Cricetulus griseus: one gene and its partner. The protein of the gene in region 1 interacts with the protein of each later gene in a biochemical or structural test. Links are inferred from orthologs where the notes say so. Each region holds a gene or a part of one and is shown on either strand. Other genes may lie near its edges.

What was found.
Region 2: of the proteins of Bmp1 (region 1) and Chrd, one has a biochemical effect on the other in vitro, tested with the Homo sapiens proteins (3 studies listed by BioGRID and IntAct). The link is inferred for Cricetulus griseus from reciprocal best matches to the Homo sapiens genes BMP1 and CHRD.

The regions. Positions count from the first base shown.
Region 1 is NW_023276807.1:225,147,572-225,151,371, reverse strand, and holds part of Bmp1 (bone morphogenetic protein 1), read left to right. Parts: intron 1-1,858; coding exon 1,859-1,983; intron 1,984-2,517; coding exon 2,518-2,633; intron 2,634-3,800. UniProt on the Homo sapiens protein: Metalloprotease that plays key roles in regulating the formation of the extracellular matrix (ECM) via processing of various precursor proteins into mature functional enzymes or structural proteins.
Region 2 is NC_048597.1:67,916,570-67,920,995, reverse strand, and holds the start of Chrd (chordin), read left to right. Parts: upstream 1-1,588; coding exon 1,589-1,736; intron 1,737-1,907; coding exon 1,908-2,077; intron 2,078-2,458; coding exon 2,459-2,588; intron 2,589-2,722; coding exon of another isoform or gene 2,723-2,728; coding exon 2,729-2,857; intron 2,858-2,942; coding exon 2,943-3,042; intron 3,043-3,146; coding exon 3,147-3,234; intron 3,235-3,577; coding exon 3,578-3,719; intron 3,720-3,829; coding exon 3,830-3,970; intron 3,971-4,052; coding exon 4,053-4,135; intron 4,136-4,209; coding exon 4,210-4,357; intron 4,358-4,426. UniProt on the Homo sapiens protein: Dorsalizing factor. Key developmental protein that dorsalizes early vertebrate embryonic tissues by binding to ventralizing TGF-beta family bone morphogenetic proteins (BMPs) and sequestering them in latent complexes.

The DNA of each region.
Region 1 (3,800 bases):
AAGCAAGGCTGAGCTTGTCTCTCATCTGCCACCAGGGCATATTTCTTTTTCCTGTGATTCCGAGGGAGATCACCTCTTTCTAGTTTCTAGTCTGCCTCTCGCCACCTTCTTGTTTTGTTTTGCAGTTCTAGGAATTGAAACCAGGGTCTTGTGCACTCTAGCTAACATCTCCAGTCCTATTTTTACTTATTTATTAATGATTTTGCTTTTATTTGCTTTTATTTTATGTGCATCACATTTTATGTGATGGTGTTTTGCCATCATATGTGGCTGTCACATTCTCTGGAACTGGAGTTACAGACACTTGTGAGCCACCACGTGGGTGCAGGGAATTGAATCCAGGTCCTTTGGAAGAGCAGTCAGTCCTCTTAACCACTGAGCCATCTCTCCAGCCCCTAATTTTTATTTTTGAGAGAGGGTCTCACCAAGTTACCCAGACTGGTCTTGAATGTAACCCAGGCAGAGTTTGAACTTAGAATTCTTTTCTCTTTTTTTTCTTACATTTATTAATTTGTGTGCATATGTGAGCATACATGCCACATGGCACCCTGAGGAGGTCAGAGGAAAACTTCCTTTTTTTTTTCCCCAGACACGGGGTTTCTCTGTCCTGGAACTAGCTCTGTAGACCAGGCTGGCCTCAAACTCACAGAGATCCAACTGCCTGTGCCTCCTGAGTGCTGAGTTAAAGGCGTGCGCCACCACTGCCTGGCGGTCAGAGGACAACTTTCAGGAGATGTTTCTCTCCTTCCACAGTGTGGGTTCTAGGGATCGAACTCTGTTTAGCAGATGTGGTGGCATGTGTCTACTCACTAAGCTGTCTCACTAACCCTCAGACAGGTTGTCTTGCCTTTTGAGTGTCGTGCCTCAGCCTCTGAAGTAGCTCATTACAGACCAGGACTGGCTTTGTCTGCTTTGTGACTGGCTAATTAGAACAAAACTTGGCCTTTACCCTGGACCGGTCTCCATTGTCAGTTCGCAAGATACCTCCTTAACCAGGGCCTGATGTGAGGAGATTCTCCTACAGAACTGGGGGAAGTACCCCACTCCTCACACTCCTCCCTCCACTGCCCTTCCTCTACCATCCCTGTCTGGGTGGTGGCCCTTTCCCCCTTCTTCTCTAAGCTCCTCTAGACCCTTTCTTCCTGCTCTGGACCCGGGAATGGAGACAAGAGAAGAGAGTGAACTCATTCAGCCGTCCACCCCCACAGACCCTCCTTGCATTTCCCATCATACCCACACCCCCTGCTGGGCCCTGCCCAGCTGGATGTGAGTCAGGGACCCTAGGGATGGTGAGAACTGCTGTCTCCTCTTAGTTCTGCTCCTCCCCTATGGAAATACAAAGTTTAGTGGAAAGGAATTGGGAAATAGAGACACTGTGCCCTAAGAGCCGGCTGGCCACTGCGGAACCTGCTGTCAGTCTTGCTCCAATCACAGCCATGTTAGAGGGCAATGAGTTGACCCTGGGAAGTCCTGAGAGAAGTTGATTGGGACTGAGTCATCATTTGAGGTCTGAAGATGGGAGCTGGCTGGCATTGCAGAGATGACAAATGAGGGCCCAAAGCTATCCCAGGGGCTGGGATTTGAAGCCAGTCTGAACATCAAGGGCCTGGGCCCCTCATCCTCAAAGCATTTCTGCCCCCCCCAGCCCCTGTGGTGTAGCTGCCACGGAAGAGGGTAGCTGCTGGTCAGTGGGCAGCTTAATGACGGGGTGAGACATCTCCACCCTTCCCTGACCCTGCCGAGGAATGTCTGGGCCCTGGCAGTGTCATGCCCTGTGGGTGTGGATGAGCACACTTCCCTTCTTCTTTATCCACCTTCCAGAAGACTCATGTCCTCAGTCTCCTCATGTCCTCCTCAGGGGTATCTTCCTGGACACCATTGTCCCCAAGTATGAGGTGAACGGGGTGAAGCCGTCCATCGGTCAAAGGACCAGACTCAGCAAGGGGGACATCGCTCAGGCCCGGAAACTCTACAAATGCCCAGGTTAGAACAGGGAAGGGACAGACCGGGGGGGATGGAGGGTAGAGTCCAAGGAAGGCCGAGGCCAGGGCCCAGGACCACCTAGAAAGTCACAGCTGTCAGTCTCCAAGAAGGGTGTTGGGAAGGGGGAACAATAAGGAAGGGACAGTGTTTCCAGTTAAGGACCAAACTGGGGCCAGGCTGGTAGGTGGTAGGGAGGACCAGAAGGGTGAGGATAAGTAGGGGCAGGAAGGGGCAGCAACTAGCCTCTCTCCTGGGCAGTGAGGAGGAGGCGAGGCCCACCGAAAGAGCTTGACCTGAACTCTGGAATCCATGTTGCCTTGACAACAGGACATCTGGTTACCCTGGCAGCACTAGACCAGGAAAGTAGGATGGTTTCTGCTTATATGTAAGGAGGAGGGGGTGTATCTTAAAGGAACAGAACCCCTCTCTTCAGCCACTCTTGTCTCCCCAATGGATTCTAGAGCTTAGGGGTGAGCCAGAGTTGGGCGTCTGGCACCTGCAGTCAGTAGCCTGGTTACTTTTTTGCCTTGACAGCCTGTGGCGAGACCCTCCAAGACAGCACCGGCAACTTCTCCTCCCCCGAGTTCCCCAACGGCTACTCTGCCCACATGCACTGTGTATGGCGCATCTCAGTCACGCCCGGGGAGAAGGTAACTGTGATTGACCACCTGTCTGAGTCTTCCTTCCTCTCTTGGGACCCCGGAAGTGGGAGAGCATCTCCCTCCAGGAGCCTCAGCCCGTGAACTTCTGATACAGGGTGACCTACCTGGTCATCAGCATGAATGCATTAAGTATGCCATGAGGGGGGCTCCCACCAGTTCTAGCCTCACGCTGTCCCCATTCTCCCCGACCAGCTGTGCATCAGCGCTAATCTGAAGATAGTGTTGCTATGTACAGTTGCCAGGTAGTGCTATTGCGATTGTGTAGCTCTTCTTGAGTGCTTTCTAAAGTGCCTGTCATATGGCCCCTCTTTTAATTTTCATGGATGCCCTGAGTCTTCATGTTATAGAGGAGGAAACTGGATCACAGGAATATTAAGTAACTTGTCCAGGTCATACAGTTAACAAGGACAGGGTAAGATGAGAACCATTCCTAGGACTGGGTTCAATCCCAGCCTTTTCTGGGATGCCCTGGGTGGCCTTGGGTGAACCACTCAGCCCCAGCCCTTGGCTCTCTCCTCTATATCGTCAGAGCTTGAGTCAGGGATTCCCAAAGGGCCCTTCTCAGTTCTCACATGCTGTGGTCCTGAGAACAATTAAGAGCAAGGCAAATGCCTCCAGCAAGATGCTTCTGGCTATGGCCGTCCCTCCACCCCTGTGGTCTGGGACCCTCAGGTCCTGCTCTGCCTGCTGCTCATATATGCCAGCAGAGTAGAACCAAATGCGTGAGGGGCCCACAAGCTTGCCAGTGCAGTCTCCCACTGCATGGGATGGATTAGCCTTGTTTGAATACCTGAGGTGAAAAGATCTTGGGACTTCCCATACTATTCTGTTCTGTTGCTGACTCTTAATGCTGTTGGAGAAAGGGGGAGCTTCTGTCCCTGGAAACCCTCAGGGCTTCTCAAGAGCAGTCCCTTGTAAACCGCCTCCTGTTTCCCAGATAGCTCTCCAACCCAAGAAGGCTAATGTCCTCCTTTGTTTTTAAATTATATTATGTGTATGGGGTGTGTACATGTGAGTGCAGGGCCCGAAGAGGCCAGAGGCGTCAGATCCTCCTGGAGCTGAAGTTACAAGCATTTGTAAGCTGTCTGATAAGGGTGCTGGGAACCAAACTTGGGTTCCCTGCAAGAGCAGAGAGACACATCTCCAGTCACTCTT
Region 2 (4,426 bases), on another chromosome or scaffold:
GGAGCTGGGGAATGATGGGGTGTGTCTGGTTAACACTGGGCCCAGAGCACATCTTTAATCCCAGCCCCGGGGGAGGCAGAGGTAGGCTGATCTCTGTGAGTTTGAGGCTAGCCTGGTCTACCTAGCATGTTCCAGCCAGCCATGGCTACATAATGAGAACCTGTCTGAAAAAGAAGGAAAACCAGACAGATTGACTGGACTCAGATGCCTTTCTTCTACAAGGGGCACAGGGACCTGAACAACTAACCACACAGCTCTGTTTGTAAGCCTGCCCTTGGTTGCCCAATGGCCCTCTCCCGTTCCTACCACTATACATGTGACAAGAGAAATAACCAGGCCCATCTGTCCCCGTCTTAGGAGAGACAGCTGCTGAGCCTCCCCCACAAATAACTCTGCTGGCTCTTCTCTTTCTTGCCTTGGTCCTGGCTCTAGCTCCGGTGCTTTCTCCTCAGTGCCTGTCTCCCCACGGTCTCTGTCCTCAGGGATCTCCTGGCCTGACCTTGTGCTCTGCCCTTGTTCTTCCTCAGGGTTTCTCCTGTGCCTGCTCTGAAGATGGGCTGTCCACTAAGGAGTATGGCCCAGATCCCGGAATTCTCTAGTTCAATCAGAAGAGATGCCTCCTAAGATTAGGAAGCCGGGTGCTGGGATGGTTGTGAGAATGGTGGGGGTGGAGGAGATGGGGAGGCAGGACAAAGGAGAGGAAAAAGAGTGGTCCCTTGGATGAAGGAAAGGGTGGGAAAGCCAGGTGATGGTTGGATGGACTTGTGAACAGGTTACAAGGGGGAGGTTATTACTCCACTGGGTGCGGGGAGCATTTCTTGATTCTGGCTTGGTCCCTGTGCCTGGGAACTCCAGAAAGAGAAGAGACCCTAGAAGGGAAAGAGGAATACAGCCTGAGTGAAAGGAGGAGGGTGCCCTGGGTCTTAGACAGGGAAGATCGTTGTCCTTTTCAAAGACAAGTCCTCATCCTCCAGGGCCCATCCTGCCCATGAGTGGTACAGGCCGGAGGCCCAGCCTCTGCCCTTTCACTTAGCTTGAGGCTCCTGTCTCTCTGGATGGATACCACAGGGGTGGCCGCAAGGAGTGTGTGTGGGGGTGTCGAAGCCCGCCTCTCCTCCCCCCCTTTGCGCCCCCTGGTTCCTCCCTTCCCCCTGCCCACTCCGCTCCCCCCTCCTCCAGTCCCTCCCTCCTCCCCTGCCGGGTCCCAGCCTGTCCCCCTCCCCCACTCGCGATCCGGCCGCTGCTGCTGGGCCGGACCCCCCGGGCTCAGCCGGGCTCCTTGCGGAGCCGCCGCCGCGCCCCGTTTGCTGAGGAGGAGGCCCCGGGCCGGGACTCCTGGCGCGGGCATAAAACGGGCCGGAGCCAGCGCCTAGGGCACTACAGCGGCGTACGGCCCGGGTCAGCGCCCAGCCGCCCGAGCTCTCCCGCCCCGCCCGGCCGGGAGCGGACTCCGCGACTGCGAGACGAGCCCCTCGCCACTGCCCCCCTCCTGGCCCCGGCCCCCTCCCGCCGGCCCGCCTCCGGTCCGGCCCTACTCCCTCTCCTGCTCCCTCCTCCCGCCCGCCTCCCCAGCTGTCCGCTCCGCGTCATGCCGAGCCTCCCGGCCCCGCCGGCCCCGCGGCTGCTCCTCGGGCTGCTGCTCCTCGGCTCGCGGCCGGCCGGTGGCACTGGCCCCGAGTCCCCCGCGCTGCCCATCCGTCCTGAGAAGGAGCCGCTGCCTGTTCGGGGAGCGGCAGGTAGGTGGGCTCCAGGGGGGAGGCGCGGGCGGGGAGTCTGGCTCGGGGCAAGTCTGCACCCACCGGGACAGGGCCCCGGGCGCAGGTGGCTCGGCGCAGCGGGAGGGCGGGAGGGGTAAGCAGAGGCGGCGGGGCGCAACGGTGCCAAGGGACCCAGGGCCTGGCGGGCAGAGCTCGGAGCAGGCATTACGGCACGAGCAACCGGACAGCGGCCGCCAGCCAAGCCCGTCCCCACAGGCTGCTCCTTCGGCGGGAAGGTCTATGCCTTGGACGAGACGTGGCACCCGGACCTGGGGGAGCCTTTTGGGGTGATGCGCTGCGTGCTGTGCGCCTGTGAAGCGGTGAGTGGATACCGCAGCTGCCCGCCCTACCCTAGAGGGTAGCGGAACGCTGGCGTCCTAAGCCGTAGTAGCCTCGGAGATGCTCAGGGGAAGGCTGGTCCTCAAATCTGGGGAAACCCCTTTCAAGTCTGCGGTGTTGACAGTTATTGATCGCCCACTATGTGACTGGCTTTTAGCCAACTTCCCCCATCCCATTGCAACCTTGCTAGATAAATGGCATTAATTAGCCTTACTTTGCAGACTTAGAGAAGTTAAGAAACTTGTCCAGGGTCATGTAACTTGTAAATAGCGGAGCTGACTGATTCCAGCAGAGGACCTTACCCTGGCGTCTGATGGTTGCACGTTACACTCACTTAATTTCCCTGTGTTCTCTGCCATCAGCCTCAGTGGGCTCGCCGTGGGAGGGGCCCTGGCAGGGTCAGCTGCAAGAACATCAAACCCCAGTGCCCCACCCTGGCCTGCAGGCAGCCGCGCCAGCTGCCAGGACACTGCTGCCAGACCTGCCCGCAGGGTGAGGCCCACTGTCTCCCGTGTTAGGGAGGGTGGAAGGCTCAACACTAGGTTCTGTGCGGCTTGGATCGCTGAGGAGGACTGGCCCTCCTGGTACCCTGCTGAATCTAGTGGTCTTATTCCTTACCCCCCCCAACGCAGAGCGCAGCAATTTGGACCGACAGCCAGCTGGCCTAGTCTTCGAGTATCCAAGGGACCCAGAGCACCGCAGTTACAGCGATCGAGGGGATCCCGGCGCTGGCGAGCGGACACGTGCTGATGGCCACACGGGTAGGCTGGGGTGGAAGTGGGCCTGACGAAGTTTGGGGCCAGCGGCAAGGGTTGACAGTGCTTAGGCCATCCTCTCTTCTCACAGATTTTGTGGCGCTGCTGACAGGACCGAGGTCGCAGGCGGTAGCTCGCGCTCGAGTCTCTCTCCTGCGCTCAAGTCTTCGCTTCTCTATCTCCTACCAGCGGTGAGACCAGGGAAAGAGCAGCGCGGCTAGGAGTAGTGAATGGGGGCATGAAAGGGGGAAGACTGCGGGTTCTGGATCCAGTCTCACTGGACCTTTCTTCACAGGCTGGACCGCCCCAGCCGGGTTCGGTTCACAGATCCCACCGGCAACATCCTGTTTGAACACCCTGCTGCCCCCACCCAGGATGGCCTGGTGAGATGATGCCACTTACGTGTACTTATCCAAAATGGGCACTTGCTGAGAGCATGGTTGGCATTGCCTCCTTTGGTTCTCACAACAGCCCAGTGGGAGAAAGGCCCTGACATTATGATGCCCATTTTACAGAGGAGGGAACTGAGGCTCAGAATAGCAGAATGTGATTTGTTCAAGGTCATTTGGCTAGCAAGTGGTAAGCCAGGACTTGAACTCAAGGATCCTGGGTCCTTTTTAGGAGGGTCTGGGGTCTCCCTTCCATACTCCTCCCTCACCAGGACTGGGCCTCTTAGCTGGCTTGTCCTGCATAGTGACTGTAGACTTCCTTGTCTCTTTGCTGTAGGTTTGTGGGGTGTGGCGTGCAATGCCTCGGCTATCTCAGAGGCTCCTGAGGGCAGAACAGCTGCATGTAGCCCTGGTGACACCCACTCACCCTTCAGGAGAAGTCTGGGGGCCTCTCATTTGGCAAGGTGCTCTGGCTGCAGGTAGGAAGAGTGAAGAGTTCCCAGATAGAAAAGACTGAGCCTTCTCTATCCAGGGGTGGGTGGACTCACGAGAGGCTCCTCTGATGGCTGTCATGCCCTCCATTCCCCAGAGACCTTCAGTGCCACCCTTACTCTGGAAGGCCCACAGCATCGGGGTGTAGGGGGCATAGCCCTGCTCACCCTCAGTGACACAGAAGACTCCTTACATTTTTTGTTGCTCTTCCGGGGTCTGCTGGGACCCAGGAATGAAGGTAAGCAGGTGAGAAGGCGTCCGGTGAGAGTATAGGGAGGGAGCTCAACTTTCAGAAATGCTCACATGTGCAGCCCTTGCAGGTCCCGCTCAGGTTCCCCTGAGGCTTCAGATTCTCCACCAGGGACAGCCACTCCGAGAGCTCCAGGCCAACACCTCAGCTGAGGTAAGGGGAGGCCTGGGTCTTGCTGCTGCTTGCTCTGGCCTCTTGTTGTCCACCACATTCCGCTCTGTTCCCAGGAGCCAGGTTTTGCTGAGGTGCTGCCCAGCCTGACAGACCAAGAGATGGACTGGCTGGTGCTGGGGGAGCTGCAGATGGTCCTAGAGAGGGCAGGTGGGCCAGAGCTACGCATCAGCGGATACATTACCGCCAGGCGGAGCTGTGACGGTGAGGCAGGGTGGGGCTCGGCGCTGTGGGCACACACAACTTAGAGGCACAAACATGAGCTAAAGAAGA